2 linked regions of the Daphnia pulex genome follow. The protein of the gene in region 2 purifies or fractionates together with the protein of the main gene of each other region. This does not show direct contact. Links are inferred from orthologs where the notes say so. Each region holds a gene or a part of one and is shown on either strand. Other genes may lie near its edges. The genes, in order: 1-phosphatidylinositol 4,5-bisphosphate phosphodiesterase-like; transient receptor potential protein-like.

The links.
Region 1: the proteins of transient receptor potential protein-like (region 2) and 1-phosphatidylinositol 4,5-bisphosphate phosphodiesterase-like purify together in Drosophila melanogaster (affinity purification with western blotting; 3 studies listed by BioGRID). This does not show direct contact. The link is inferred for Daphnia pulex from reciprocal best matches to the Drosophila melanogaster genes trp and norpA.

The regions. Positions count from the first base shown.
Region 1 is NC_060017.1:2,922,459-2,936,932, forward strand, and holds the end of 1-phosphatidylinositol 4,5-bisphosphate phosphodiesterase-like, read right to left. Parts: intron 14,430-14,474; coding exon of another isoform or gene 14,350-14,429; intron 13,941-14,349; coding exon 13,805-13,940; intron 13,687-13,804; coding exon 13,586-13,686; intron 13,454-13,585; coding exon 13,287-13,453; intron 13,224-13,286; coding exon 13,013-13,223; intron 12,956-13,012; coding exon 12,862-12,955; intron 12,783-12,861; coding exon 12,618-12,782; intron 12,220-12,617; coding exon 12,028-12,219; intron 11,792-12,027; coding exon 11,629-11,791; intron 11,196-11,628; coding exon of another isoform or gene 11,051-11,195; intron 10,640-11,050; coding exon 10,482-10,639; intron 10,416-10,481; coding exon 10,209-10,415; intron 10,136-10,208; coding exon 9,971-10,135; intron 9,896-9,970; coding exon 9,691-9,895; intron 9,618-9,690; coding exon 9,459-9,617; intron 9,395-9,458; coding exon 9,217-9,394; intron 9,141-9,216; coding exon 8,937-9,140; intron 8,872-8,936; coding exon 8,625-8,871; intron 8,279-8,624; coding exon 8,210-8,278; 3' UTR 7,621-8,209; downstream 1-7,620. Other genes in the region: serine/threonine-protein kinase PAK 5-like, read right to left, coding at 2,851-3,012, 3,139-3,254, 3,396-3,540, 3,613-3,873, 3,943-5,553, 5,816-6,040. UniProt on the Drosophila melanogaster protein: The production of the second messenger molecules diacylglycerol (DAG) and inositol 1,4,5-trisphosphate (IP3) is mediated by activated phosphatidylinositol-specific phospholipase C enzymes. Essential component of the phototransduction pathway.
Region 2 is NC_060025.1:8,984,932-9,000,382, forward strand, and holds transient receptor potential protein-like, read right to left. Parts: upstream 7,539-15,451; 5' UTR 7,449-7,538; coding exon 7,445-7,448; exon of another isoform or gene 7,424-7,444; intron 7,377-7,423; coding exon 7,303-7,376; intron 7,257-7,302; exon of another isoform or gene 7,239-7,256; coding exon 7,120-7,238; exon of another isoform or gene 6,356-7,119; coding exon 6,115-6,355; exon of another isoform or gene 6,043-6,114; coding exon 5,900-6,042; exon of another isoform or gene 5,837-5,899; coding exon 5,635-5,836; exon of another isoform or gene 5,627-5,634; intron 5,558-5,626; coding exon 5,384-5,557; intron 5,306-5,383; coding exon 5,071-5,305; intron 5,009-5,070; coding exon 4,856-5,008; intron 4,784-4,855; coding exon 4,638-4,783; intron 4,436-4,637; coding exon 4,329-4,435; intron 4,271-4,328; exon of another isoform or gene 4,259-4,270; coding exon 4,125-4,258; intron 4,062-4,124; exon of another isoform or gene 4,046-4,061; coding exon 3,922-4,045; intron 3,883-3,921; exon of another isoform or gene 3,858-3,882; coding exon 3,662-3,857; exon of another isoform or gene 3,647-3,661; intron 3,600-3,646; coding exon 3,447-3,599; intron 3,382-3,446; coding exon 3,315-3,381; and 6 more. Other genes in the region: macrophage migration inhibitory factor-like, read right to left, coding at 1-114, 185-292; cysteine-rich hydrophobic domain-containing protein 2-like, read left to right, coding at 748-905, 1,010-1,220, 1,284-1,400, 1,468-1,518; tRNA:m(4)X modification enzyme TRM13 homolog, read left to right, coding at 10,310-10,614, 10,763-10,953, 11,059-11,253, 11,366-11,608, 11,685-11,809, 11,904-12,221; 5-hydroxytryptamine receptor 1B-like, read right to left, coding at 12,296-13,321. UniProt on the Drosophila melanogaster protein: A light-sensitive calcium channel that is required for inositide-mediated Ca(2+) entry in the retina during phospholipase C (PLC)-mediated phototransduction.

The sequences.
Region 1 (14,474 bases), on a different chromosome or scaffold from region 2:
CCCTTCTCTCCCTCTTCTCTCTGTCAAAGGGGGGGTTGGCTGTGTGAAAAAGGAGGGAATAATCAAATAACCCTAGGGTGGAATATATCGGCGGAGGAGGGGGTTGGAAATCCCCCATAAAAGAGAAAACATCAAAAATAATGGCCGACCCTCTTCAAGAGATCGGGGTATGCTGTTGCTGCTCGCGCAGACGCGGACTTTTGATGATCGTTCAGGGAGATGTTGGGACTATCGAACTAATACTGTGCAGAGAGTCTCCTCCCTCTTTTAGGTAGGACCTTTTTTAACCGATAGATCCCCCGCCGCCATGTGGCACAATTGCCGGTCAGATCTCCTTTTTTTTCAACAAAAAGATAGCCTGACTGTCAAAGATACTTTCGAAGCCGCTCGATCAAAGCCGATAAGCATCTTTCTCTTTGCTAAACGAAAAAATACGAAAATAAAAGTGTGGTATTATAACATGTGGTGGCGCATAGGTCCTTTGGGTCTATCTGTGTGTCATTCGGGGAAAAACAAAACCCGCCCCATATCTCCTCGGTATTAAAAACTATAAACTTGTTCTCTCATAGGAATGAGATTTATTTGAATGACCTTGTCAAATCATGATAACGTTCTACGGACGACCAAAAGAAGAATCTTTTTAAATATTTCTTGTCCTTGACTTGCTGTGCTATGGCTACCAAGAATTTGAACTGTCACGAATTTCCCCATTTTTATTTTTCAAAATAAAAGGCGAGAGATAAGATTTATGGTGCATCCATCTTTTCTAGGGCAGCAGCAATTAAAAATTATTATTGCGGCTGCGTGATGCAGCTGTCCGTCCCGAGGACCTAAAAGGAATCTGGATGGTGGCCCTATCAAATGAGTTTGAGCCGACTACTTTGGTAGTTAGTACTTCATATCCGGTGGGTCTGTGAATGCCATGTCGACACTCGTTGCAGCTCTGATGGGCTGAGATATCGATCATCATTCAGTTGGCGCCGCAGCGTTTGGTCACCGGATGTCGCCTTCTCAACTCGTTTGCTGCTCTCCAGCAGCAGCAGCAGCCAGCACGTAACCCTATTTCCTTCTTCTCGCAATCAAGATGCGGATGGACGGATGGATCCCTGGGCACTTGCACGAAACGATCTCATTTTCTTCTTCTCCTAGCAACAGATGCTGCTGGTTGTAAATGAGCCGTGGCTCGAGCCACCGCGAATCGATAGAGAAAACAGAGAGCCCTAGGGGTGTGTATAATCATCATCATCTTGTGGTTTCCATCGGGTCTAGAGGAAACGAAAAAATTGAATACTTGAAGGAATTTATTTTCAAGCTAGAGCGAATATCACGTTAGCACGCAGCAGCTGCGTGTGTAGTCCAATCTGTTTTAATTGATGCCCAGAATCTTGTGTACATGATGAGCCACTCGGAATTCCAGCTGGATGTGCCCACGTGAATTACATCCTGACGTCTATGTACATTCTGTTTAAAACCAACAACATTTCTTCGTCAGGGAAAATAAGTCCTTGTGTGTGTGTGTTTTGGAGCGATGAAGTCGTCACTAACTGGCAACAGCTCTATAAATACATCAAAGATGCACTCTTCTTCATCGTTCGAGAGCCACAGAGAAACAACCTTTAACTATTTATAAACTTGAAACATTCTACATCTCGCTTCCTGGCCTTTGCACATTAAAGTGGAAACAAATTCCGGCGCGCTACTTAAACAAAAAAACAACAACAGAATTAAATACGTATATACCCAGTATCGAGAAGTCATTGATCTTAATTTAGCTCCAGGCCGCAGACAACTAAAAAAAAAAGGAGAAAATGATATTCAAATGCGTGTATTCTTCTTCTTTCATTGTTGTTGAATGTGGTTGTTGTTTGTATAGGTTTGATATTGGCGCGTCCAGGAAATACACGAAACAAAAATGATGATGATGGTGGTGGGTCGTCTCTCTCTCCTCTTGGCTCTTGTGAATATTCGTTACCATTATTAGACATCAAGGGTAATGGATTGGCGTGGACGTGTTGTACCGCGAATAAAAAAGAGATGAGACCGCCGCCACGCGAGCAGCAAGCAACAACGAAGAGAAAGCCATCGAGTCTCACGCAAGGAGAAACAAACGAGACAAGTGCGAAAGGAGGAAATGATGATGATGATCAAGACGGACAGAAAACGAGGGATATAAATGTGGGTAGACGAAAATTACATCTTGGGCTATTAAACGTCAAAAAAGAGTTTCCTTTTTTTGTTGTTATTGTTGTTTTTACGTTAAAAAAAAAAGAAAAGATGGAAACAGACAGACAGAGAAAAAGAAATGGTTTTTTAAAAAAGTGTTCGCAAAACATCCGACGATACGAAAGAGGCACTACATTTGGACGGAATGATCCGGAAAGGAGGGATAGGTAGAATTAAGGCTGATATGATACTGATAACACAGGAGAGAAATATTTTTATAAAAGGGGAATCACCCTTTTCTTTTTGGTCAACTCAAAAACAAATTAAAAAGAAAAAAAAGTTGTCAAATAATATGGCGAAAAACGAAAGATTCTGTCCTTTTTTTTCTCTCTAATTGTTTTGTTTTTGTTTGTTTTCTTTTTGTTCATTATTATCTAATCGCAAAAATTCCAGCCCGCTTCTGAGGCATTGGAAAAGCTGCCATTGGTTACCTTTTGTTTGATTTTTAATATACAGAGAAAATAGAGGGGAAAAAAATACTTGGGGATTTCCATCGCAGCGATTCATGGCGTCAACGGAATACATATGACGACGTGGGTCAATCGCCAACCACGCCCTTTTTTTTCTTCTTTTAAACACACACGGTCGACTGCCATGAATGACGACGGTAGGAAAAGCTGTCAAAACCTAAGTGGGCGAGTGTCGGAAAGATCGCATGAGCGGGACGAGCAGAGCTGGAGGTCCGGCTTGCCTCAAAAACGGATGATGAAGCAGCTCGAAGGCGGTGGCTCTTTGAGCGGGGTCTCGTACCAACATTCGATCCAGAAAGCCTTGTAAACGGGCGGAAACCTGACGTTCATCATAAACAAACAAACAAAAAAAATAAACGAACGAAATTAATACACAGATTGACGGCCTGCCAGACCAAACCAGCCAGCGGTAGCTTTTAGAGAGATTGAATGACCGTTGCCTTACTTTGGTAGCGTTGCGCAGCTTGGGTGGGGGCATATCCCGAATGCGTCTCATAGCCTGCAAGGGGGGTTCGTTAAAGAAGGGCGGTTCTCCGTCCACCATTTCAATCACCATTATACCTGTTTTGTTATTGTAAGAATTAATAATGGGAAAAAAAAACAAAACGTCGATGTCGTGACAGAGAGACAATGGCTGTCAAGGAATGTTGCATTGCCTTTCAAATCTTAGTTTTTTAAGAAAATATATTTTCTTTTATTTACCTAAACTCCAAATATCTACTTCAGGGCCGTAAGGTAGGCGGGATATCACTTCCGGAGACATCCAGTAGGGCGTCCCCACTAGCGACTTCCTTTTCGGTAGCTCTTGTGACACTTGAGCGCAGAAGCCAAAATCAGACAACTTAACCTGAGGTTTAAGATGGGCGTAAACAAATTAATTTTTACAAAAACAGATTGAAATAAATCAACAATAAATTACCCTTCCATCAGCTGCTAAAAGAATTGAATCTGATTTGATATCTCTGTGGATGACACCCTGCGAATGGAGGAAAGCCAGCGCTTGCAAACACTGGAGACACACAGTGGCAATTTGTTCTTCATCCATTCGAGCGTGAGTGACTATATCCGTCAGAGCGCCACCCTCTAAATATTCCATCACCACCCACAACTCGTCGCCCACCAGGAAACTGTCGTACATCTCGACGATATTCGGATGATGATAGTCGCGCATAATGACCACCTACGAATGCGAAGAGAATCTCAATGATAAATAACGACACAAAAATAAACAGCTACGCAGTTATTATACTTCGTTAAAGAGGAGTTCCCTTCGTTGCTGGCGCCTCAAATCCATCTTCTTGACGGCCACCTGTCGGCCAGTATTTTTCTCTACGGCGATGCAAACGACGCCAGTTGAACCTTCGCCAATCTTAATGAAACTGTCCAGGTTAATCCGTGGATCACCCGGACTGACGACCATTTGTAAAGCGGCGCGGAATTGTTCGTGAGTCAATCGTTGTTGCTGTTGTTGTTCTTGAGCGGCGGCGGCGGCCGCTGCGGCTGCCGCAGCAGCTGCAGCCGTCGATTTAGCCACCACAACACTTTTGCTATTGTTCAGCGTGTTCTGATTTTGGTCGGCTCCGCTGTTGTTGTTGACCGCGTTGCTGGATGGCGGTCGTGGCGGCTGTGGACTGATTTTCGGCGGAAGAGGACCCGGTGGTGGACCCGATGGATTGGATTGGGGTTGCTGTGGGTATCTCGACGGCTGCTGAGGATGAGCTGTTGCAGGTTGTTGTTGCTGCTGCTGATGTCCGTTGTTCAAAGTCATGTGTTGGAACTGTTGACTTGGTGGACGATAAGTGTTGGGAGGTTGAGGAGTCGTCGGACTCCGGGGGAGCGGAGAGTGCGACTGGGACGACGCCGACGAGTTCGAGTGAGGCGCTGAATGCTGTGGCGGCAGAGTCAAGTGAGGAGGTTTCATTGGCTGCGCGTTGGGTTGCTGAGGGCCTGGATGTCCATTGACGTTTTGACCGTTAGGCGGTCCGCCGTGTTGATAAGGTGGCGGTAGGGGTGGTCGATACTCTTGGTTCTGCCCGTGATTATTCTGATGACCAGCTGGGTAGTGGTTGCCAGTTTGGACTTGTAAGTGGCCCGGCATTCCGCCATGGCCAGGATGTTGATTCGGTATCGGATAACCAGGAGACGGACTTGTGCTGCCAGGATGCATGGCGCTTCCTTGAGGTCTTGGTCCTCCGCCAGGCTGATGCATTCCTTGAGACGGATGCATGCCGTGCTGCTGTGCCTGCATGCCGCCCTGTGGATGCATTGGATGGCCTGGTTGTGGTTGCATCGGTACGGCTTTCATCATCATCTGAGAATTCCGTTGGACAGGAGGTGGAGCTGGATAGTTGGGAGCTGGAGGTCCCTGTTGTTGTTGTTGTTGGTGTGGTGGCATCTGCTGCTGGGGCATGGGGTAACTTGCTTCCCGCAGGATTCCTTGTGGGTGAATCGGACGTCCCATTCCGTCTCTGACGTCTCTCGGAACGGCTTGGTGTTGATGAGGGAAATATCCTTGGGGATACTGCTGCTGCTGCTGCTGCTGCTGTTGGTGTTGCTGCGATGCGAGATAGCCTGGTCCGTAGACAGGCTGGCCAGAAGGATAGTTGGCATTATTGGGTGAAGGCAGAGGTGACGTTTCACCTCCTAATCCTTCGCCCATTTCTGGAACTGGTAGCATGGGTTTGTAATCTTTTCGGGCTTTGGGAGGGCTGGATGAGCGTAGACTGTTTGAACGGACCACACTGGATGTCCGAGGCAGTCCTGGTCCTCCTCCATTGTTTCCATTGTCGTTTTTACCAACCCCGCCATTGCCGGTGCTCTTGCCTTCTCCTCGTACGATCGTCTGCAACGACACATCCTTCTATTGAAACGGAATAATGAAATCAAAGGGTGCATAGCTGCTTCATGGAATTTGTTAGACGGGAAAAAGGTGGGACGACGACCACTGAATCAACGATGAAAGCAATAGCCCAAGTTTCTTTCGTGTCGGAGTTGGTCGGAAGCGGTTTTGTTGAGGAAAACCGTTACCGAGATTTCGGTCGTGATTCGGTGGTCGGAAGGTCATATAAGGGATATATGGATGTTTATTATGGGGTTTGCAGCTCTTGTGGTAGATTTTTTACCTTCAAATCCAGGACTTCTGTTGGGGTGATTTCAGACGGATCGATTAAAGGCGTCGGTCTGGACGATAAGGCACCCTTGGCCGACGGTGTAGGGCTCACGATGCCCGCCCACTGTGGCGGTAGTCCGACGTAGCGGTTCTCCCGTTTGTCAAAGCCCGTGTGCACCCTGTGCTCAAAGTTTTTAGGCAACGAAATGTCCAATTTCTTCTTCTTCTTGCTGAACATGGCGAATCAACTTTGAATATTGAAGAACTAGAACTATTCAAGAAAACAAACAATACAATCAGTTCCTTTTGAAACAGTACTAGTCGAAACACTTTCAAAGAGAAATAGCGGCACTTTACACACAATCTTTGCCGACATAGAAATTGAACGAACTAAACGGCATCACGCTTCATGTACCAATGAGAGTCTCGTTTCCTCTTCTGATGTTTGTATCTGCTACGACAACAAACACGAACAACAAGGTAAAAGTAGGAGCCAACGCGAGGAGAGAGAAGGACGAAACGAACCGTGTTGAACGACGTCAACAGCCGAATGACGTGCGGCGTATATACCTCCCTCCCAAAGGCGTCTGGTTTATGTTTCGTGCCGGAATGCGGCCGTAAAAAAAACGAAGACGACGCGCATACACACACAACACAACACACACACACAGACACACACTACCAACCTAGTTTTTAAGGTTGCTAGTTAACCCAAAATAACTCCATTATGTTCCAATCAAAGCCTATTGTTATGTTACGTGGCACAGAATGGTTCTGATTCAAATGCCCAATTACAATAAATGTTTTGATAACTTGATCGTCCAACTGTTAAAACCCAATTACAGGTGTAAATTTAAACCCTAAACTTGAACCACATGGGAGAGAAACATTTTCCATCTTCAACGAAAACCAGTTAGTAGGGAAACATCTCAGACGAGAGTTGAACACTATCTACTTATTCAATTCAAAAGCACAGCATTATTGTACGCAATGCAGTTAACTTCCTCAAATGAATCACATAAGGTCACAAAGGTAATGTCATTAAGGGCTTGTACACCTAACAAGATTGTAGACAGATTCAGTTTTGACAGGCGAAATGGGGGGGGGGGGGTATTTGTGAAGCCTTCTAAATGTTGATTTACTGAAAATCCTTATAACATCACTATGGTAACACTCAGGTAATGACAAAACACATGCACGCACTGGCCACGTACCAAGTCCACGTTTTTATCGACCGACTAATGCCGAGGATCAATAAATTTCACACATGAAAACAAAAGACTTGGCCTATGGAGGAGGTAAGATAACCAAATGTCATTCGGCCGTTGAAAACACCAAGCCACCCCTTTCACCTGTTAACCATTCAAAGAGCACAGCAAAAATGCACATAAACTCACCTTTAAAATGATAACACCAAACAGGAATCCAAAAGCACCACCAAATGAGCACTTAGAACTTAAACATCGAAGAAACTAAAGGAAATGAAAGAAAAAAAAGGCTGCGGAAGATTGTTTATAGTGAATCTTGTATGGCCGCCATCTTATTTGCTTGTTAAGGTGTTTCCCCCTCCCCCACAACAGGTGAAGGCTAACTAGTGACCATTGTTTTCACCTACCCATCAAGCGATTTATTATATTAATATAAGCAAGTCGTAAAATACAGCATAACTAAAAAAATATTGAATTTTCATTCGCCAATTTTATATTTTAGAATGCTGTCATAATAATATCATCTTTTTTTTTTTTTGCAATTTTATTTTATTTTTTGGAAAAAGAAATTCGTAGCGGGTCGCTGCTAAACAGAAACCAGACACTTGGCTTGGTTTTTTATTTATTGCGTTGTATTTGGATAAAAGAAATTCACAACTATGAATATATGCAATATCTAGAAGAGAGAGTGGGAGTGGACAAGTTCTGGAGGACAAGAGAGCAATTTAAAATTTTGCTCAAGGAATGAACTGTAAATTAAATGTGAAAACAAAGTAAAGAAAAAAAAATAGTATAGTTGGGATTGATTCACAAATCGGCTCATAGGCCGATCCAGCGCCATCTAACGAGTAAAGAACAATAGTAGTCCCAACGATCATAAGGCATAGTTTGTTGGCACACCCAAAAGATTTTTGGCTAGGTATGAAAAGAATGAAAAGATGAAATAAAATTTGGAAATAATACAGGTTACGGATTTGAATAACAATGAGAGGTACCAACAATCGCGGAATAGGAATTGCAACATCTACGAGTTTTCTTTAATGGATCCTTTTATGTTTTTAATGTAAAGAGAAATATACTCAAATGAAACGTATGGCGACGTACGGGGGGCATGGAAGCGCATGTTTAAGCAACAGCAGGTTCACATTATGTGATGGAATGTGATGACGAAGAATTTAATGAGTTGAACGCCACAGGTCTCAAACGAAGAATTCATATGGATTCGCCAGCTGGTACTCCACTTCCGCGTTCTTATACATCTCAATATTCTGTGAGAAAGGTATAAATTAAACAAAAAGAAGAAGTGAAACGGTTACAACTGCACAAGAAAAACAATATCTCTGTGTCTCCCGACGACATTTAAAGACTAGTAATAAAAATACAACCCTCAGGTGATCATCTAGATTGCAAAGCTCAAAGTGCTTCGAGTCGTTAAAGCGAAACTGTTCAACTGTACAACGAGAAGACTTTGTAATCTCAGAGCATTAAGTAAATAACAAACTAATGCGTTTGGAAAAGTTTAAGGTTTGCTTCGCTATCAAGCCCTTGAACACACGCGTAACCCTGTGCGTGTTTGGCGTTTAAAGTGAAAATCAAGAAAAAGTAAAAAGTTACCAGTTGAATGTCTCGGTTCAAGTCCTCCAGTTGCTTTGCATGCATGGCCACGAGCTTCTCCTTCTCTTTGCCCTGTTTCATGGCGGTAATTTTGCGTTCCTCGATAAACTTTTTGGTATTATTTTGGGCTTTTTCACGCAAACGGCGCTCCTTTTCCGCTTTGTTGCGCAGCGTCTTGTCGGCGGCCACTTCTTTGGCTGTTTCAACGGCCATCTTCGCTTGACGTGACTTCAGGTCTTTGTTCTCTCTATAAAATGGCCAACGATATCATCAACCGGCACCTCAGATCTAATAAAGAGCATAAAGATTTACTTCTCCAATTTGGCGTCCAGCAGCTTCAGTTGGGCTCCCTGTGCCCCCTGCATAACCGTTTTGAGAATGTCCTGTTGAGCCTCCAGTTGTTCCTTCAACAAGGTCCACTCCTCCTTCAAATGGCGCCCGACCAATTCGGACCACTCTTTGGCTTGCTCCGCTACCAGCTGTTTAAGGGCCGGATCGTTGATGAATTCGTCTTTACTGCAAATCAAAACGGAATGAATTTTGATGATGAAAACAAAAATTTCGCGGGGATCCTTTTTGTGGTCGGTTATACTTTTTCCCTTTAACGATCCTCTCGACGGCCGACACTTGGTTCTTCTGGATGGTGGCTTTCTCCTTTTGTTGGCGTTTCCTCATTGAATCAAGGTCCTTTTGGTGCTTCTTGGTCGCCTTGGCAAACGCTTTATCGCTGCGAAGAGACTCGAGGGTCACAGGTTCGAACTTCATTTCCTCTGCGATTCGATTCGGTTAAATAAACAAGCGTTGCTTAATGATTGCGCGAAATCAGAAATTCACCTCTTTTGACTTCTTCTTCGGCGGCTGGAGCTGGTTTGCCGCCAGTGACAGCAGCCTTGGATTGTTCTGATTCTTCAATTCCCATTTCCTTCAGTTTATTGTCTCGTTCCTTATTGGCAGACATAAATGCTCGAGGATCCGAAAGTGCGTCCATGAATCCTAGAAAACATGTCACAATGGTATCCTATTCATGCTAAAGGGGAGTGATATACGAGCACTTGGCGACACATACCTCCCAATCCATCCGGAACGTAGATCTTTAGCTCAATGTTACAAAAGAGCATGGGCAAAGCCATTGGAAAGTTGGCTTCTGTCCTTAGAGAGATGTGACGGTATCCACCTTGGAGACCGTCCAACGGCAGGATTCTTTGACCAAGAAGTTTGCCGTTTTCATCGTAGACTCCGAAACGGAGTACAGCTAAATCTGGAAGAACCACCTGATCATTTGAAAATAAAGAATATATTATATATATTAGACATCAATTCTTTTTTAAAATTTATGAATTAAATACTTTTCGGAAGAGGAAAGGTTCTTCGTTGTAAATGGGGTTGAGACCATTGGCGGGAACCATGCGAGTTCGAAACTCTTTACGGATGGTATCGGTTGGCAGACCGTACATGTCGACTTCAACATAAGTACCGACTTTCTTATCGGACAAAAACTGACCGGCGATAACCTATAGCAGGTGCCATGAAAAAAAGGAGTTTAGGTAATAAACCCAGGAAAGATTTATATAATTATTCTTATACCTGGACAGCGCATTGGGCGGCAATGACACCATCCACGGGCGATTCTGCAAACGGGTCGAAAGTTCTGTCGGGACGACGCATGAAATCGGGTTTCAGGAGGTAGCCGCAGTTTCCGTTGTACTCAAACTTGCCCTGATTGAGCTGGAACGGCAAATCAGGTGTCTGGAAGTTAAGCGACACCATCTGGGATCCAGCATTCCAGAACACCTAGAAAAACAATGGTAAGTATTATTTTTAAAATGCGTTCGGTATCAACAATTACGCATAGTTTACCTGGGGCATGTAATTGGAGGAATCGGCTCGAGTTCCCTTTGGATAAATACGACTCATTTGACGCTTGTTGTAGTTGACGAACTCAATGGCCGTAGTCTTCAGGTAATTGAGACCGGTGGTTTCCGCAAACGACGACATGTTGTGGTGAATATTTTTTTCTGCGTGATTTATTATGAGAAAAGTCACGTAATGCATAAGTTGCTGTCGCTTATTGCTATGTCAACCAAAAAGAGAAACTAAACGGATTTTGAAAAGTGGTTATATCTGTGGCAATCATCATTCACTAACAGGCCAAGCATAATTCATTCGGGATGCAGTTCTTTAACAAAAAAAACTAGTGGCATGGGAGAAGAAACATGATACCAAACAAGCAAATACTTCATCCAAACTTCCAGGCTCACGACTTACTATATTCGACGATCTAAAAATAAAAAACCTACTCATCGCAGAATGTACGACATTTTATTGTTTTGCTTTTTGCTCCTGCAATTCCCAAACGAAAGGAACTGAGCTACTGGATGACAGAAAATCGAGCTGCTACTTGTTGTGTGATTTTCCAATCATCTTACGTTCTGCCTCAGCAAATCCTTTGAAATGGACAGGCTGAGCATAGTTGATCATGGAAGACAGCCATGGATGGACAGCGGATGTAGAGCCCGAATGCAAGGGTACATCTCCTTCTGTGGGGGCCCCGGGTGCTGCTGGATCCCCTTCCTATTTAGACAAAGCAGCAAGGGCCATTCGTCCCGCGGAAAGAGTTATAACATCAAAAAGCTTTTTCCATCCAAAACAAAAAGAAGCTGCCACCTAACTGAATCCTTATCGATTCAAACTAAACAGTAGTCGACTTTGACAAGAAGCTGAAAAGAGTGATCCGATCCTATTCGGATGCAATCGTATGATAATGTCATGCAATTCGAGTAAAGAAAATCCCCAAAAAACATCGAACACAATGAAATCAAAATTAAACGATGCGCGTTAGCTGTATGTTGAGACCATCATGCTGAATCCTCTCAACTATCTGAGCTATATAGTTACACACTATTTATGTAAAGGCTCATATTTAGCTGTCAAAACAACACCGATACACATCGAGATAAGTTGCTTTTTGTTGTGCATCTTTTCGCTGTTTTTGTAAGCTGATTACCCTCGGCTACATCGAATCCCTGGAACTTGACAGGCTCTGCATAATTGACCATGGAAGAAAGCCAAGGATGAATGTGATTGGTTCCGCCTTTGTACTCGTACACCTGGAACATCTTCTCTTCAAAGCTGAGAGAGCGGGATTCGCTGGCGCCGGCTTCAGTTTCCTTATTTTGGTTTTGGTGTAAATAACAGACCAGAAATAGTTGGGTTTTCATTCATCAACGCTTTGACATGATGATGATGATCTCCCCCCAACATCATTATTTTAGAAAAGAGACGGAATTATATTTAATCAGGCAGAGAGCCCAGACTTAATGGTTTGACGTCCTTGTGTCTTGCTCGCGGCCCCTCAAAATTTTCTGTGAAAAAGAAATGTGTTGACGAACAACTCTGAAAATACCTTTTTATCTTCAGGAATAGGAGCCGCTGGCGCCGAAGCGTCTTCCTTCTCCTCGTCCTCTGTTATGACGAACTGACCCTGACGGAAGAGTTCAAGCTCTTGCTTTTCAACATCTGGCTTAAGTCGTTTGTTCTTGATGAGAATCTTCCGCTTCAGCTGGCTCGGACTTGGCAGAGGCACTCCGGGTTCCAACTAAAAGTAGACCACGAGATGAAAAATGCTGTTCAATGAAAACTTATGCCAGGCTAATTGTCGGGTGTCGGGGAGTAGGGTTTTCCATTGGGAGTCGGATCGAAAGTTGCCAGAACAGACGTGCCGATCCACGAGAAGCGACGAAACAACAATCTTCCAGCAAAAACAAGAGCAAGCGTAAACAATACACGGAAGGTTCAAGTCTCGAGGTGAATCGTAACCTAAATATTTACGAGTTGGTTCTTTTATCGCGCTCGTGGAACGTCATCCCAAGGTAGTCATTGTGAGGGACGTCAAACAGGGCCCCTGTTTGGTCTATTTTCGTTCTAGGCAGGACGAACGGGGTGAGGGAACTCGACATGGGGATACCGACAGGGCGCATCGTTACGTTTGTTTACCGGAGATTCAGGAATCGGTTCCTTTAGCAGGAGATCACCAAGGATTTCATCGCAATATTTGGCCAGCTTATACTGCTGGGCTCGACAGCAATGGTTCTCGAACGACAGAATGATCGGCCAATCCGAAGTGACAAAAGCGCAGTCGCGGATGGCGAGAATAACGTCCTGTCAAAATGAGAATTCAATTCCAGCTTTCGCGACATGGCTTCGCATAGGATTATCTATATATAGGCGACTCACGGACCTTGAAGAGAATCTCAGTACACATGGCTTTGCCGTGAGTAATGATGGGTTCTTCATCGCTGCCTTTGCCATCCCAACAATCGAGCTCGACACATCTAAACAGACAATTGTTAAGTTGATTTAAATTTATTCATTCCGACGAGTTTTGTTACCTGCAACCGGCCAAAAGGGTTTGTCGGTACATTTCCACCGAGGATTTACCGCCAAACTGTCGTCCACTGAGATAAGTATTGTGGGAAGAGTTGATGTAATAATGCGACAATGGTTGATCCATTTCCATGTAGATGTCAAGACGATCGAGCCATACTGGGGCATTGTCGTCAGACATGAGATAACGAATGAAACCGTCTTTGCTCAAGCGCCCTGTTGTTCATTGGATCAAAATTACTCATACATTCATTTAGAGAGCTAATTTTAGAAGATTACTTCTAAGGCGATTATCTTTGTCCTGTTCATACTCTTCAATAATTTCTGTGGCTCTTTTCTCATTATAGAGAGGATAAAGGATCTCGTTGAGGCGGGGATCGCGCTGTTTGTCGTTCAGAAAATCGATAAATTGAATGATCCCAATCGCATCCGACTTGCCTTTAGTGCTGCATGAAACAAAAGAGAAAATCACGTTAATTCAACCGAATGGCTGCACAAAGTTTTCATATCCAAGTGGATTAATTACAAACAACAGACATCACGATTAGCTGAGAATTATTCGTCTTCGGGAGACTTACATGGATTGAAACAATTCTTCGATATCATTTCTGGGACAAATTTTGTGATAAAGTGCGACGAACTTCTCGAACGTAAAATCAGCTTTTTCCATAGAATCGCCCTGGTGTGAAAAAATCGAATTTTTATGAGCAAATTGAATTATAGTGAGCAGACAAAACACGCAAACATGGGGAAAAGGGAGTCACGGGCTTCTGTGAGCCAATTGCAACATTGTTTACCTTTTCACTGGGAAGTCCTAATTCGGCGAAGGCCTGGTAGATGAGTTTCTCCGTTTTACCCGAAGCGAAAGTTCTGGCCACGACTTTGACTGGCACTTTACCGGCTGCATCCACCTGGAAGCCGAGTCGCATCCAACTGGAGCAGACAAACACGCAGGCAAACACAATGAGAAACGTTGAATTTGTAATTTAATAGTTTGAGAATTAGAAAATGCAAATAAGGTACTAATTTAGTGGTGCGAAACGTGCATCTAAGCAGAAAAATATTCAAAAGCACAAAGCTTTTTTGATATTTCATCATTTTCTAAATTGTGATGGTGCTCATGAAATAACATTGAAAATAGCATTCGCCTCCAGTCTATATAAATACTACATGCAAACTAGCAGCAATCATTCCATAGATATACGAAACCAAAAATGCTAGATGAACAGTGATGCTCCGAGGTTTGTGCCGTGTACTCATACATTGGGGAATTTTAATTTGGTCGAATTCATCGACGGTTCCCAGGGTGAGTACACGGCACACAGTAGAAGGACAAACTCACTGTTTCATCAAGTTGGTTGTAGGGCAGACATTGATGATCTTGTTCTTGTTGGTAATGGTGCGCAGACCTTCCTTCCACGTCTAGAATTGAGTTAAGGACAACAAGGTGGAGATGCGATTTTCGAT
Region 2 (15,451 bases):
TTTATTTTCATTGACTCCAAGTTTTCCAATACTCATTAGATGGGCAATGGCACATGGCCCCTCTTCTCCTCCCCAAATCATCATCTGGTCGGGAACAATTGTCACAACACAGTACTAAAATCAAAAAATAAAATTTCTTGCTCTGTCTTTAAACAAATTTGTAATGTTTTGATGTTATACTTACACTTTCAGGTTTACCCAGCATTTTAGCAATCAATGCAGAAGTCTCTTTCAAAAAATTACTTGGGATTGAACTTTTTGAAACATTGGTCGTGATTTTTAAGTGTGGCATTTTCCGTTAGAATTAAACGATTTGATGTTAGGTAATCAATCAAATCACGAATAACCCCAAGTACCAAGTTACAAGAGTAGTCTGCTAGGAAAACTTCCAAGAAATAGCTGATTTATGTGACCGCTGCTAGATGGCGTGCAAGTTCTTTGTTTTCCCGTATTAAATTAAATTAAAAATCAAAATAACTCGTAAAATAGATAGAAATTACACTTAAATGAATGTGTACTAAATATAAGATTATTTGTGTTATGTTTTATAAAAATTGATCTTGTATAAAATGTTTTTTTATGTCTCCCATCCTCCAAAATAATAGTTTATGGATATGGTTATGGTGTAAAGAATGAAAGTTGAAATCAGCTGTTTACTTGTTTAGTAGAACAGGATGAACGACTGCTGTGGAGTGTATTTACGAGTCTGATTTGTTTGAATGTATTTGAGTCGAATGTATATCAATAATGGCCAATGCAGAAGACCTGAACGCGATTTCGACTCTTCATGAAGACGTTTATCATGGAATTCATTCAGACAATGGAGAATGGGTCGATTTGCTCACACATCATAGAGAACCTGTTCGAGATCCGGTTGCTATTCGAGGTGCTGGGAATGTTACTGTGTAAGTGAAATCTGTCTCTGACATATTTTAGAAGTCGTCCGAGATGAGTAAAAAGTAAAAACTACCTGAAATTTAATTATCTGTTATTGCCTATTTTCATACAGGTTTGGACTTAGTAATCGTTTTGACACAGAATTCCCATCTGCCCTGACAGGCAAGGTCGCTCCTGAAGAGTTCAGCGAAACACTTCAGAGAATAAATTCTGTCTTGAAAAAAACTCTTCCAGTGAATGTTAAGTGGTTGTTTTGTGGGTGTATATGTTGTTGCTGTACTTTGGGTTGTTCACTTTGGCCTGTAGTTTGCCTCAGTAAAAGGGTAATGAGCGTAAAGGTTTCATTGACATTCCACTTGTGCTAACAATTTCTTTTCTTTCATTAGACAAGGCATGCACTTGAGAAACTTCTTGACTGGGAAAATAGCCACTTGTACAGTAAGTTGGGATTACATTGGAGGCTATCTAAACAAAGATGTGACAGTTCAGCCATGGTGGAATATGTAAGAAATGGAAAACGTTTTCACTTCTTTATTTTTTGGTATAATACTTGCCATGTTTGTGATACAGGTGCTATTGGTCGAATTTGTACCTCGACTTCAGATTCATCGTCCCGATTAACAGGAAATGGAAACTCAAGGAAAATTGCGCACAATTTTGACTGCTCATTGTTGGATGTCGTTTCTTATTCTTCATCATCGGCCAGAATTGTCTGTTATAAATGGTCTTTCTTACGCTTGTACTTTTCCTCCGAAAGGGTTTATTTGTCAGTATGACAACTTTAAGATCTCTCTGCTTAAATGTTGAACGACTCCCTAATCATGTAAACGTCTTTGTGTAAGTAAAACAAAAAAAAAACCCCAAAAAGAAGGAATTCGGAGCTTGCTATTGCGTGTATATTTAGAATGTGTTGCGGGCAATAAACATGTCGTTTATGGAGAAAACTACAGGATGGATTAACCAACTGGCAAGGCATAGCAACGAAAAGAATCAGAACCAGTAAGTTTTATTTCTTAAGTTAAAAGTGTCAAAATCTACTCTAGAAAAATTTAGACTTTATGTTAATCCATTTAAAACCATCCTTCTTTCAATGTTGTAGGACGAGAGGAAGGACGAGACGCAGCAGGTCGTGGTGAGGGTGAAGGTGAACGCCCTCTCTCATCTGGGCGTGAAGAAGCACTGATTGGTTGGAGCGTGGTTGGTGTAGGAGTTGGGGCAGGAGATGGTGGGGCTGCTGCCACAGTCCCCGAGACTGTGGGTATGGGTGTAGGTGAAGGAGTTGGCGCTGAAGTAGCTGCTTTAGGAGTCGGAGTAGGCACTGATGCAGGCACTGGTGTAGGCGCTGGAGTCGGAACTGGAGTTGGAACTGGAGTTGGAACTGGCGTCGGAGCTGGCGTCGGAGATTTAGGAGCTGGAGTCGGAGGTGCAGGACTAGGCGCAGGAGTGGGTGGTTTAGGAGTTGGAGTCGGAGTGGGTGGTACAGGAGTAACTGATTCGTTCTCTTCCAGATGAACGATGGTATCCAAATTTGAGTTTGGTTTCGTTTCCGATGACTGCTCAACTCCGGCAGCGATCAGTTTGTTCTTCATATCCGGATCGGATGCCAATTTCTTCAAGGAGACGGTACTCTTTTTCAATTTCTTTTCCATCTTTCTGTCCTCTTTGCTGCCTGTTTGGTTGTTTTCATCAATGACGCCCAGCGTATTGCGCTTGAACTTGGCGTAGGCCACTCGGGTGGCGGGTGTGTACTCCTTAAGGCGAGGATTGTATTCCGCGATACGTTCAGGATCCATGGACAAGAGATTTTCCCTTTCTGATTCGATAATGGAACGACGGAGCGACTGTTGCGACCACCTTTGATTACTTTGGGCTCTGGATCCGATAGGATTCCTCCTAATCGACGCTCTGCTGGCCGCCATGGCGTTCCATTCGTTTCGTTTCTTCATCTTGGAGCTACTGCGAGATGCCATGACTTTAGCAATTTTGCCAAAGACATCCACAGGTCCCTTGTCTGCCGAGGCGTTCGCAATCACGGAGCTGATCAAATCTTCCACCATACCAATCTGGAAGCCCTTCTTCAGACGACGCTCACGAAGTCTTCCCTTCTTTCCGGCTGCGTGAGTAATCCAATCAATATAATATCGTTAGAGTAAAGAAATGGGAAAATAATAATGAAACAATTTTAAATCAAAATGGCAGGTACCCGCGTTGCCGGCCTTCTCAGCGTCGCCACACTTCATTCCGTTATTGCGGAGGATGTCGAGCAACTCGAAACGGAAGGACGAAATGTCTTGTTTGATTTCATTGACGTCGTCTTCGGTAACGCCCATTTCTTCGCTCTTCTTTTGCTCGGCCGTAACTATAAATATTTCAACATTTCATTCTCATTTTTACAGATTTTGAAGGGGATTCATTACCATAGCGCCTAACCAAAAGTCGCATCACCTCCATGTGTCTGATTTCGGCCTTGTGTTGATTCTTTTCCTACGTACAGGTAATACGTAAAAAAGTGTACAACTTCAGATAGATTTTCTTATGATTCTTGGTACCTTAGTTGCTTCGGTTTGTTTTTTCTTGCACACGTTAAACATGGATTTCGGCGTCGGCATGATGTTGAAAGGCGGCGGAACAGTGGCGCCATCGTCGAAATAGCTGAGCCAAAGTTTGGAACGAGCAAATTTCCACTCGGTATCACTCCTCGACTATTTAATTCAAGTTTGATTTGAAATTTTACATTTTGTTTTTCTAGGAGATTTTGTCTTACGGCGATTGCGGCATAAGAGTTGGACATCATGGCAATCAACATGTTGAGGAGGACGATAATGTTGATCATGGAATACGATCCGAACATGAGCAAGCCCCAGAAGCGCGTGAAACCTTTGATGCCTTGAAGTTCGAATGATTGCAAATCGACAAGACCGAAGCTGGCCCAAAACAGGGATTGCGACGTCTCGAACAAACTGTCGAAACAGAAACTCATTAAAGGTAATATGGTTTTAATTTGATTTTATAAAAGTGAGTTACTTTGAAAATCGGCGCCAAAAGAAACAAGCTTCTTGTTCGTTTTCCCAATCAGGACCTCCGTTAGGCAAGCAGAAACATTTTTTCCTGGTCAAATCGGCGTAGTACCACATCAGTTGATTCAAACCTATTCAATTCCCCGGGTAATATTTCAAATGGAATTTTAGCTCACTACTTTGAAATTAATTTCCCGTTTCTTTGGTTACCGCATCCGAAGGCGACAAGGACCAACATGTAGATGAAGAAGAACTTGATGATGTCGATAATAATTCGGCCGAGAGAGATTTGCAGCGGACCCAGATGCGGAGAGATGGAGAAAACGTGGACCGTCTTCAGATAACTGGAAATAATGGTAAAGTTGAATAGGATTAAAATTGCTTTTTTGTGGGGGGTTCAATAATTTTGGGCACCTGAAAATCATTGCGGCGCCAAACATTCCCTCGCTTAGTAACATGGGGTCGAACGTACTCCATTCCTCTCGCGGATACCAAGGATTCAGTCCTTCCCATTGTTCCCTCTACGTAGTATCCCCAGATAATTAGATTACTCATACGTACACGACAACTTTATTCTCTCTCTCTCGGTGCGGTGTGTAATCTTGAACACTATTTTTGAGGCTTCGCTCAGACGTCAGTCAGTCAGTCGAAACAGGAAATTGATTTTTTTTTCTCTCTTTCCGAGTTGTAATTATTTGATTTTTTCCAACTTCATCTTTTTACCTGAACGATGAACCAGGCGACACCTCGTAAAAATATCCAAGCCAGGAAGAAGCTGTTTGAAGTGAAATCAATCAAGTTCCATAAATCCGTGATGTATTCCATTAGACCGTCGGACCATAATGAATGAACTTCCGCCCAGATGTGCCCTGTTTGTCAAAGAAGGAACATTTTTCAGTTGCAGATGTTGCTTATTGTTAGAATCGCAGAGTCATTCGAACCGAATATGTATAACATGATGAAAAGTTCTATAGGTCCGGGTATGGATCCCCTTTCGCGACGTTTCCAATCTTCCATGATTTCCTGCATCCATTCAGTGCCAAACCATTCAATGAGGAGGTATTCAACGCGTTGAGAAGCCAGTCCGAGTAGAGCTAAATAATGGGGAATCAGTTCATAATTGCTGCAGTCGTAGTCAAATTTTATGGCGCATTACAGAGAAAGAAGAGATACGAGGCCGAATGACAAATGAATTTGACGAAAGGTTTCTTGATGAATTTCCCCTTTTCCGTCGTTGGCGCAATCATGTAGAGCATCGAGTAAATGGGGAATTTGGCCGCGATTTTCATCGTCTCGACGATCTGGCCGATGGCCGAGCGGCGACGGAATCCCGGCAAACCTTGGTACCAAATAGCTCCCAGCAATTGTTGCACGTTTGCGTGAGCCACAAACTTTAGAACGGGTTAGGTTAGGTTTGGGGTTTTGAAAATGATTTGTTAGACGATTATAATTAGCCTGATAATACGCACATCTTTTTGGGTGTACTTGATGGCCAATTCGAGTCGGTCAAGAGTCTGGCGGTCGCCGGGCTCCCAAACTTCTTCAGAGTCGTGAGAATAGTTGAGTAGCGTCTCCAATTCGTAGGAACTTCGGACATGGTCTAGCAAAGACGTCGCAAACTTTTGGCATTGTTCTTCCAGTTGCTGCCCTCGTCAAATCATGGAAATATTTATTAATCTGCTTCTAATTTAACTCTGGTCAATTATAATTAGGTCCGTACCTTGTAGTCGACGGTGAATTCGGATTCGATGATGGACATGCGGTTCAATTCGTTGCTCAACTCGAAAGCCGTCAAGACGGGATCCTTGCTGGACAGGGCGATAAGAGATGGCGAAGCTAGTGCGCGGTAGGCATTGATCCTAGAGCGGGAATGACGCAGAGAATCGGCCTTGCTGGAAGCAATGCACTCATCGCAGCCGCACCTGTTCAATCACAATCGATTCATTAATTATTATTGATCCTGATGGGTTTTTTCTTGTAATTACCGGACGTCATGGGGCATAGGTAAGGCAGCGCCACGATCCAGCAGGAGTTTCAGGATCTCGTAGTTGTTCCGGTGAGCCGCCAGAATGAGTGGAGTGATGTCGGGCGTAAAAGTGGCATTTTCGCTGTCCAGCGTTTCCCAGCTCTAGAAGAAGAAAAACAGTAAAAGAGAAATCCTTTTTGCTCTTTCAGCGATTATAGAAATGTCTAGACGTACGTAAGGAGTGCCATCCTTGTGGTTTTTTTCTTCCCATTCAAGAAGTAACTCGACGGCCTCGACGTAATCCTCGCTGATGGCGTGCAGGAGCCCGTCAGACACTTTAATGCCACCTTCGAGCAGGACTTCAAGCAGCTCGTAGCTCTCGTTTTCGATGGCGATAACGAGCGACGTACGACCCAGCGGATCCGTGCAGTTCAGGTTCAAATCGTTTGGGCGATCCTTGTAGTCTTCTATCAAGCTGTAGAATTTTGTCAAATTATTTGTTCCAATTTTAAAGGGCTCCTCTAACCAAAATTCGGTGCTATGCAGATGTAGGATTCACTTAATCCCTTAAGATATAGGATATATGACCTTCGCCATGTCTTGAACAAATAGGACAATGCGCTTTCAGTGTCACGTTCTGCAGATGCAATACCTTTTCTCCTTTTTTTTGTGTTAAGGTCAATAGCGACAAGAGCAAATAACAAACTGGACGTCAGGGGGTTTTGACTGTTTCTTATACTGATATTCTAGGAATGGCTGTTTTTCATCCGCTCAAAAGTTGACGGAGAAAAAGGAGTTGGTGCATGAAGGAGATTTTCCAAAAGGAGAGAAAAAAAAATAGGGAACTCTATTGAAAGAAATCTGTTTCCTGCTGGATCTGATGATTCGATTTTCCGCGTGCCTTTGCACGCGGGAAAAAAAGGAAGAAAAAAGTTGGGTTTCTTTTCTTTTTTGGGTCCCTGCAGTAGTATTTATGTAGACACTAGGAAAAGCGCTCCTTGTTGAGTCTTACTCGGAAGTCCTCGAGCTTAAATATGTGGGAGGGGAGAAGGGTGGACAAGTTTTCTCCTTGGGAGAGGGGCTTTAGCTGTGAATAAGGATATGGAACTGGCAAATCGGTCGGGCGTGTGACTGACTAAACATTGAGTTGAAATCGGATTCTTGTTGGTTCGCAGCTAGCACTTGAGTTTGAGGTCGGAATTGGCCATTTTTGCAAGGAAATGGAATTTTGGGACCAACCTGCGGACTCCGTTGAAATCACCGCGCTCGACCAGCAGCAAATATCGTTTCTCTTCGTTTTTCAGGATCGACTCGACGGGCGGGCCCATCACAAACTGCGGATCTTCTTTGATACTTATCTGTCGCATGGTCACAAGGTCAGTTTCGTCATTTTTAAAAATTAAAGTTATGTCATTTTAATACCAGGCTCTGCTGCGAGTCTCGGGAGATGAGACCCTCCCGAGAATCCGATTTCTTTTTTCCTTCCATTCTTTTCGCTGCACCGGAATAGATTCAACTTTCTAAATTATTAAAACATTCACAGGTAATAAAAGGCGATACTTACACATGATGATGGCCTACCATCCAGGATCGGACGGACTCGTTGGATTGTCCGAGCGGCCAGCTGGCGTGCCGGGCTACTGAAGGCTCTGCAAAACTCGTCCACATACTTCCTCGTTTTTCGGTGGAATCATTCGGCTATTTTCGACTAACTAATCTTGTTAGGCGTCAGCTCTATCTACACACACACACAACATACTCTCCTGTGTGTTAGTTTTAGAATTTTGCCATTCTTCTTTGTCCCGATGTTTCACTTAAAAGGATTACTCTATGGTGGTGGCTTCTATCAGAACACGTATAGATATTCCCCGGCTGCCCTTCAAAAACAGTGGCCCCTCTCAATCTGCTGTCCGGCTATATTTTGGTCCTTCCTATATGTACATCGTTTGATTTATCACGATCGAAATTATTGATGTATTCGTCCATTTTGGTATTTTTTTCCCGGGGAAATCTGGAAAAGGGGGGCACAGTTATGCGCTTATAAAATGCTGCTGCTTTGTTTTGTTATTATTATTTTGTTTTTCTTTTATATGTACTTCCTTCTTCTCATGTCGTTCGTGATCGATTTTATATCAGTTACACCCGGTGGGGTATATGTATATAGTATAGGAGATGGCTCCTCCATGTCAAGGCTTATTCTTTTTGAGTAGATTCATCCACGACATGGTTATACGGCTGAGAATGATGAGAGGAATTTGTATGCGGTTTGGAAGGGTGGAGTAACTCGAGTATCTGCATGGACACATCACAGAGAAACCTACATGTATACAGGCGGACTGTGGGCCGGCCTATCAATTCACGTTCGCCAACCGTGACGGAACGTGAAGCTACATATAGTCTGGAGTAGTAATAATAGTCTGCATCGCCGCTGATCACGTCTATAGCCTATACATATGAACTATTTTGCCGCTCTCTTTTGTGGCTGCTGCTTCCGCACAACAAAAAGAAGGGACCTAATATCGATCCATCGCCCGGCTCGCCTTTCTATTTTCAGGATATCCACTCACTTGCTGTACAGTTACATCCTCTACATACATGCGTCCATGTAAATTTCTCTTGTCGCTGATATTTGTGATAAATTTACCGAAACATTCAGAACGTTTCACGCACGGATCGTCCAGTTTCTCCCAAGGCCGGAAGGGAGACAGTTTACACTGACAATTTAATATTTAAATGTATTTAAATGTGTGGAAGGAGTCGAATAAACATAATGAACATGACCTACATTATTTTGTATTTCTTGGCTCGATGCGATGGCCTTTTTTATTCTTTTCTGGATGACATCGATGCGCTTTTGGCCAGTTACATGAAGAACCATACTGACATATTTTGCTTTTTTTTCCTATTGCTGCTACTTAATTATGTCGGAAATTTGACTTTAAATAAATGAACAATGTCCGCATGACAATAGTGCAACAATGGGTGTTATGGGAATTTCGAAATTCATCAAATGCACATTAATAGTTTAAGTGTTCCAATTGTTACCTAGCCATTGAAAATACTTTCCCTGTATATTTTAAGTAGATTGTTTAAGATTTAATTAATTTGGACTATGACTATCATTCAATTATAACCCATCCTTTTAAGGAAGATCGGCAAGTGTATCAACCACCCGAGATTGATTATCTAGCCAGTTCATTCAACCTCAGCCTCAACTGTTGGTAGGACTTCCGTCTTTCGGGGGTGTAAAATTGATGATATTCATGCATGTTGAAATAAAACAATCTGTTGCCTACTTATATATTAATACCGTCAAAATTGTATTGACTTGTCAACTAGCGTGTCTAATGCGTTTATCTATGTGCAATACGGAACTATGAAAACTTTATTGCACAAATGGATGGATTAATCCGTTGTAGACATTGTTCATTTTTCTATTTATACATGTCTAGTACATGTTACTAGCAGCAACAGGAAAAATCCAAATTATGTCAGCTTCAAATCTGAACCAAAAAGCCCTCGGTATCCTTGACAAAGCCAATAACATACTAGCATATGACAACTGGCACATAATTTGCATTTTTTCCTTTTACTGCTATTAACTTATAGCATAGATGACGTTAGATAAATGAACAATGTCCGCTTACCATCAGTACATCAATTAGTGTTATTGTTTTTTTCATATTCCCAGGTGAACATTGATAATCGCCGTGTGCACACTCGTTAACTAGCTAATGCAATATGCTTACCAGATTGCTGTAAACACAGAAATTTTATATTCAATACAACGTAACGGCTACTGTCTTGCACATTTCCGGGGAGATATATGTTCACCAGCTTCTTCACCGTAATCGTATGAATCTAATCTATGATATCGGTCGCGATGGTCGACTTTCGCCCGCTATATCATAGAATTTGATATACATCATGCTGACAGTAGTCCATGAATAGTAAAGAAAAAATTCATGTTGTCTTAAATAATATTTCAAAGAACTGTGCAGTGGCTTGATAACTAGATTGCGCACTGTTGGTATTGCATGCACCTTCGAAATTACAAAAATTGAATTGCACCAATTGGAGTATTAATTCGTTGAATAGACTGTTCATTTTCCTATTTATACATCTCTGGGACATGTTAATAGCAGCAACAGGAAAAATGCAAATTATGTCAAATTTCGCATTTTGCGTTCTTTTGTTGGTATGACTAGCTACCGGGTACGCATGTTTCGTTTGAGGAAGGTCACGCACGAGCACTTAACGTCGAATGTCCTTGCCCATGCATCTATATTGAAACTTTTAAAAAATTGCCCTTTAACGAATTGTTTTGAAAAAACGAATCATCGATTCTCGATAGAACAAATTTGAAAGAAATGAGCAGAATTTTGGTCATCTGACATCAACGCCGTGTGTTCTTTTTTTTTTTCTCAATATGTTCGTCTGCTTTGTTGTGGTGTACGGTTGTAACCTGCACACGTTTCACGTGGTTCGCATTTTTCAAATTAACGCAGTGCTCGACATTCTCGACATTCCCGGTGTGAATTCAATGGCAACCAGTAATAAAACTGAAGTGACGTGCGCCTATTTCTTGCAGACCAAGAAAAGATATTGCCGCATGTCAGTTAAGACCGGGCGCAAGTTCTGCGGTGAACATGCCTCTTTGGAAGCTTCCAATCAAGCCTGCCCTACATCAGCTGCTAAATATGCACGAACGCCCTGTCCCTACGACCCCAATCAGTAATAACAAACATGATTATTTAAATTTTGTTTTCTTTTATGGATAAATGGTCTGTTGTACATTAATGGACACATTTACAAGTAATTGGTGGAATTCTTGAATCTGTTAGTTACGTCTTGACTGAACAATAATGTGTCACATTTTCAGTTCATGTTTTGTATCACAACTGGCAAAGCACATGGAGAAGTGCAATTCAAAACCCCAACCTCTGCCAGAATACATCAAGGAAAATGTAAATGTGATTGACAGCAATGACGAAGAGATCAAAGTCAACCTTGGCACCCTCACTGATGACGAACTGCTGGCCATCATCTCCAGGGTTTCCAAGATCCACTCAGGTGGGTGTGGAACGGTCACTTGTTGAGAGTTTCAACTTTTCTTTTTACCTTCCCCAGCTCAACGAAAACCCATCCCTAACAGCATCTTCATTCATGTCCCCATAGATTTTGTTGGAGAGCTGCCAATTTCCGTTGGACGTCACCCAGTTCTAGAGTCGACACTCGCTTCGCTGACGGAGAGCCGTGGGAGCTGGCGTCACGTCTTTCAATCCTCTTCCATTTTACACAATATGGCTCGAGTTGGTGTTTTGACGTCTGGAAAATCACGTAGCACTTACGTCGAATTCGGTTCAGGCAGAGGTATATACAGCTTTAATTTCAATATCTTTTCTTTCCCGAAACAGTATTTACAAACAGGGCACGAACACGACACGATTTAGTTTGTAATTTAGTTTTTTTTTTGTACGTTTAGGGCAATTGAGTTACGCGGTCGGCCAGGCCGTCGACCTCGATACCGATGCATTGCTGATGATCGACAAATCTTCGCCGAGGCACAAGCACGATAACCGCTACAAAGTGGACGGTGAGAGTCACGCGTCCATTCATCGAGTTCGAGCGGACATTGCTGACGTCGACTTGGGTCAAGTTCCGCTCGTCCGAAACGACACTCGACGCCTAGTCGGCATTGGTAAACACTTGTGCGGAGCAGCGACAGGTAAACACGCCAACTTTTTCTTCTTCAAATGACTGTATATTTTTTGTTGTAGAAATGATTCTTTCTTTTCAAACAGATTTAGCGTTGAATTGCCTCTATAGAGCTAATAACCCCGTCGGATTGGTCCAAGGTGTTTGCATCGCCCTATGCTGTCATCATCAATGCACCTGGGGGCTTTACGTGGGTAAAGCCTTCTTCCAGGTAATCATGACTTTTCCTGTGCCAACTGATTGCCCATTTTTCCAGTCTAAATTATTATTTTTTTTTCTTTTAAATGTTGATTTAAAAAAACTAGGAATTGGGTCTGAGTCAGACGGATTTCGCCATCATGAGGGCCATGACCAGCTGGGCAGTATGCGGTTCACGTCGTGCTAAAGAACACAGCGATGCTGGTCAAGAGGCTGGCGAAGTCACTAGCGCCTTGCCCGGTAGATATGCGGCCATGGGCCTGGATATTGAACGGCGGGAAAAAATCGGCCGCCAGTGTAAACAAATCATCGACCGTGGCCGAGTGGCATTTCTGTCTACGTGGCCACTTGAGGCCAAGCTTTTGTACTACGTAGAACCGGACATTTCTCCTGAGAATGTTCTCCTCCTTGCGCATATTTCTTAAATCCTTATTCCTTACTTTTTTTTTACAGAGTGGAAATAAACATCTTTTTTAACATCGACAAAATCGGTGAAGCTTCAGAAACGCGATTGCTGATTCAGCGGAATAGCCGGGCCGGACAACGGATAGGTTTGACTGGTTCGCTGGAAGGAAGGATTGCGGCAGCATGTGCAGGTTTTGTTCAACATTTTAGCGAAAGCCCGGCGGAAATTGGCGTTGCAAAGCGGATAGAGGACCGGGTTGAGAGTGGAATTGATGTAGCCCAGCCACAGAGTGATTTTGAAGAGTGTGTCACCGATGCAGTCCGGGCAGACGGCCACGACCAGGAACACTATGAAGTAAGGCAGCCAGCAGACCATGAAGGCGCAGACAATGACGCCCAGTTGCCTAGCAGCTTTTCTTTCTTTCTGCGAAATCAGCACCGATGGAGCGGCGGAAGAGGCAGTCGTTGATCCAGCAGCTGCTGCCGGATTATTGGCGAACAACTTTGTCGATGGCCGGCGAAGTTGCTGCTGCTGTTGTCTGCAGAGGCTAACTTTTTCGCTCACCAATCGATGGTTGTTTGATTGACTATCGACGACGTCGTCGACGTATTCAACTTTGACTTGGACATTGATGTAATGAGTTGTGCTTTGCCGGGCTCCGTCCACTCCGCCGTCGCTTCCGTGCAGTTCCATCAGCGTTAGACTCTCGTAAAAATCCAATATCGAACGATCTGCCCGGATCCTTCTCGAGTGAGTCGACCCAGCTGGTTGCAACGCTCCCGGCCCACTTTTCTGACTGCTGCTGCTGTACCAATTGAACTTGCCGCTTACGTGATTCCAGCTCCGGGCTATGGTGGATATTCCACGCTCCAGCCGTTTCATATTGGGTTGATCCTCCAGTCCTTCGTCGTCCGTTTCCAGGGCCTGGAGGCTAGTTGAATCACCGTGGTCCGAGACGATGGCCGGCGCTTGATTGTGACTCTGTCGTCTTCTGGCCGTCGAAACCATCACTTCACCCAAATCGTTGCGGCTCCTCTGGCGGATCGTCCGGAATATTCGCCCGTAAATGTAGAGCATCGATAGCGTTGGCACGTAAAAATTAGCCACCGCAGCAGTGACCTGTTGAATTATAAATACCGGATAGAAAAGAGAAAAATCGATGAAATACTTTAGTGAATTAATTTAGCCTAGACACTTTGGGCTTGCAAAACAAGATGGATCGGAATGTTTTCATCTGGACGAGCAAAAAAATCCATTACGACCGGAACACACAGTGGTGGCGGAGAAGAATTTATCCATCTCTTTTTATTCGTTGTTGACGTCAGTCCGTCGTGGCTTTCTCGGTACTTTCTCTCTGGCGTGTGTTGAAACTCGTTTATTAGGTGATTTTCAGAAGCTGTTTTTGCGATCAACAGAGAGAGTGTACATGTGATCCATTACGAGCCTCGTCGCTTGGCTGAACTCCGTGTGTGCTGCTGTTTGGACAGTTATCTCTACCTTGGACTGTACACGCGTCACGAGTCATGAAAGCTTAGATCCGTCGAAGGTGTGTGTATAGCTAGCTGCAAGAGAGACTCGGGGGAGTGTAGGGAAAAAACTGCCTGATGGGCATAAAAAAAAAGGGGAGGGGGAATATTACATCCTAAAGATATGAGGCGGAAGTAAAAAGAAAATGAAAGTGCTTCTGAGAGCGAACTCGTGTTCTTCTTCTTCCTTTGCACCGATTTCTTTTTTTTGGGTAACGCTCCCGCGGCCAAGTTTGCCGGACGCTGAGCATGCGTCTTTCAGTTGCGAAAGAATGTTATGCAGTTTCCTTTTTATTTTTTAAATCCCTAAAAAAAAACAGTGAGAAAAATGGAGGTTTGCAAATTGATAACATTGTAAGGCACCTACATTCTCATGGCAACAATGGCAGATTTAAATTTTAAATTAGTTTGTATACGTACAAAGTGTCGCAGTTTTTTTTTCTTGTTCCTTATTTTTCTTTAGAAAATAATAATTAACTCGTAACAAGTTGGAGATAAAAAAATTAAGAAAAAGTTTCTGAAAATGCAACGCTGTTAATGAAAACGTCATGAGCACATTTCGTCGAACCCGCGAGAACTGCGAGACGAATGTTTAAATGTGCCATTTCCGTCTGTTTTCAAATGATTTTATGATTTGAAATGATTGGCTTTTTCTTCAACTGCATTCAAGTTGAATGCAGGATGAGTTTTTTCCCTTGAAATCGGCGTGTGTGCTGGTCAAATAGACAACAGTTCTGCTGTTGAGAGGTAATAACATATTTATGGATTCTTCTGGGCATTCAGGGTCTCTTTATGGAAGGAACTAAAGACAAATTTTGAGTTTTATTCTGTTGAATAATAGAGAGACATTGTGTGGCTGAATAACTTGAAGTTCTTTTTTTTTGTCGTGTTGCAGGAAAAAAGTTTGGGCTCAGTATGACCTTGGGCCAGTGCCAGCATCAATAATAACCAGCTTTTCTCGGCAGATGCTGCAATATTTCCCTGAATATTAATGAAGCCTCAACCAAGCAAAGAAGCCCTTTTCTCCCCGGCCCTGCAGAGAAATTTTTTCGATTCCTTTTTGGAAAACGTCAATTCAACTAGAAAAGCAAGTGGCCTGCACACCCCAGCACACGAGGTAGGCAATTCAATTCATTGGTCATACTTTTATTGCCACTAGAGATATCTGGGGGAGCAATAATGCTCGAGAGGCCATGATGGTCATGAAAAGGGAATTGGAAGGACATTTAAGCGAGATGTGACATCTAGAGTCTGTACTGTGTGTGATATATTGCTGGCTGTGTATGAAGTGCCGTGTGCAAGTCTCATCCATTTCCATGGTCAAAGTGTGTTTTGATTGAGCGATAGCGTCGAGCAACAGCTGCTGAAGTGAAATGTGTGGGCCAATCTTCTCGACCGAGTTGAGTGTATACATTTCACACACGGCTCAGAGCGTACGGATATCAGCCAGGGTGGGTCAATTGGAAACCGATGGGTTTTCCCGTGGTGTTTAACCAACCGAATAGAGGCACCCTCCGTTAAAAACGGCTAAACACCAATTTAATCGAGTGTCGCCGTCGTTATTTAACGTGTGTAGCTCGTCGCCCACCAACGACCGGAGGCATCCAACCCTTTATAACTCATCGATTGAATGCACTTGACGCCTCCGCCGGTCCAGCCAGGCCTCTGTGCTGTGCTGTGTGTGTTTTTTTGTTCCCATCCGCCTTAACCCTAGACAATCCAT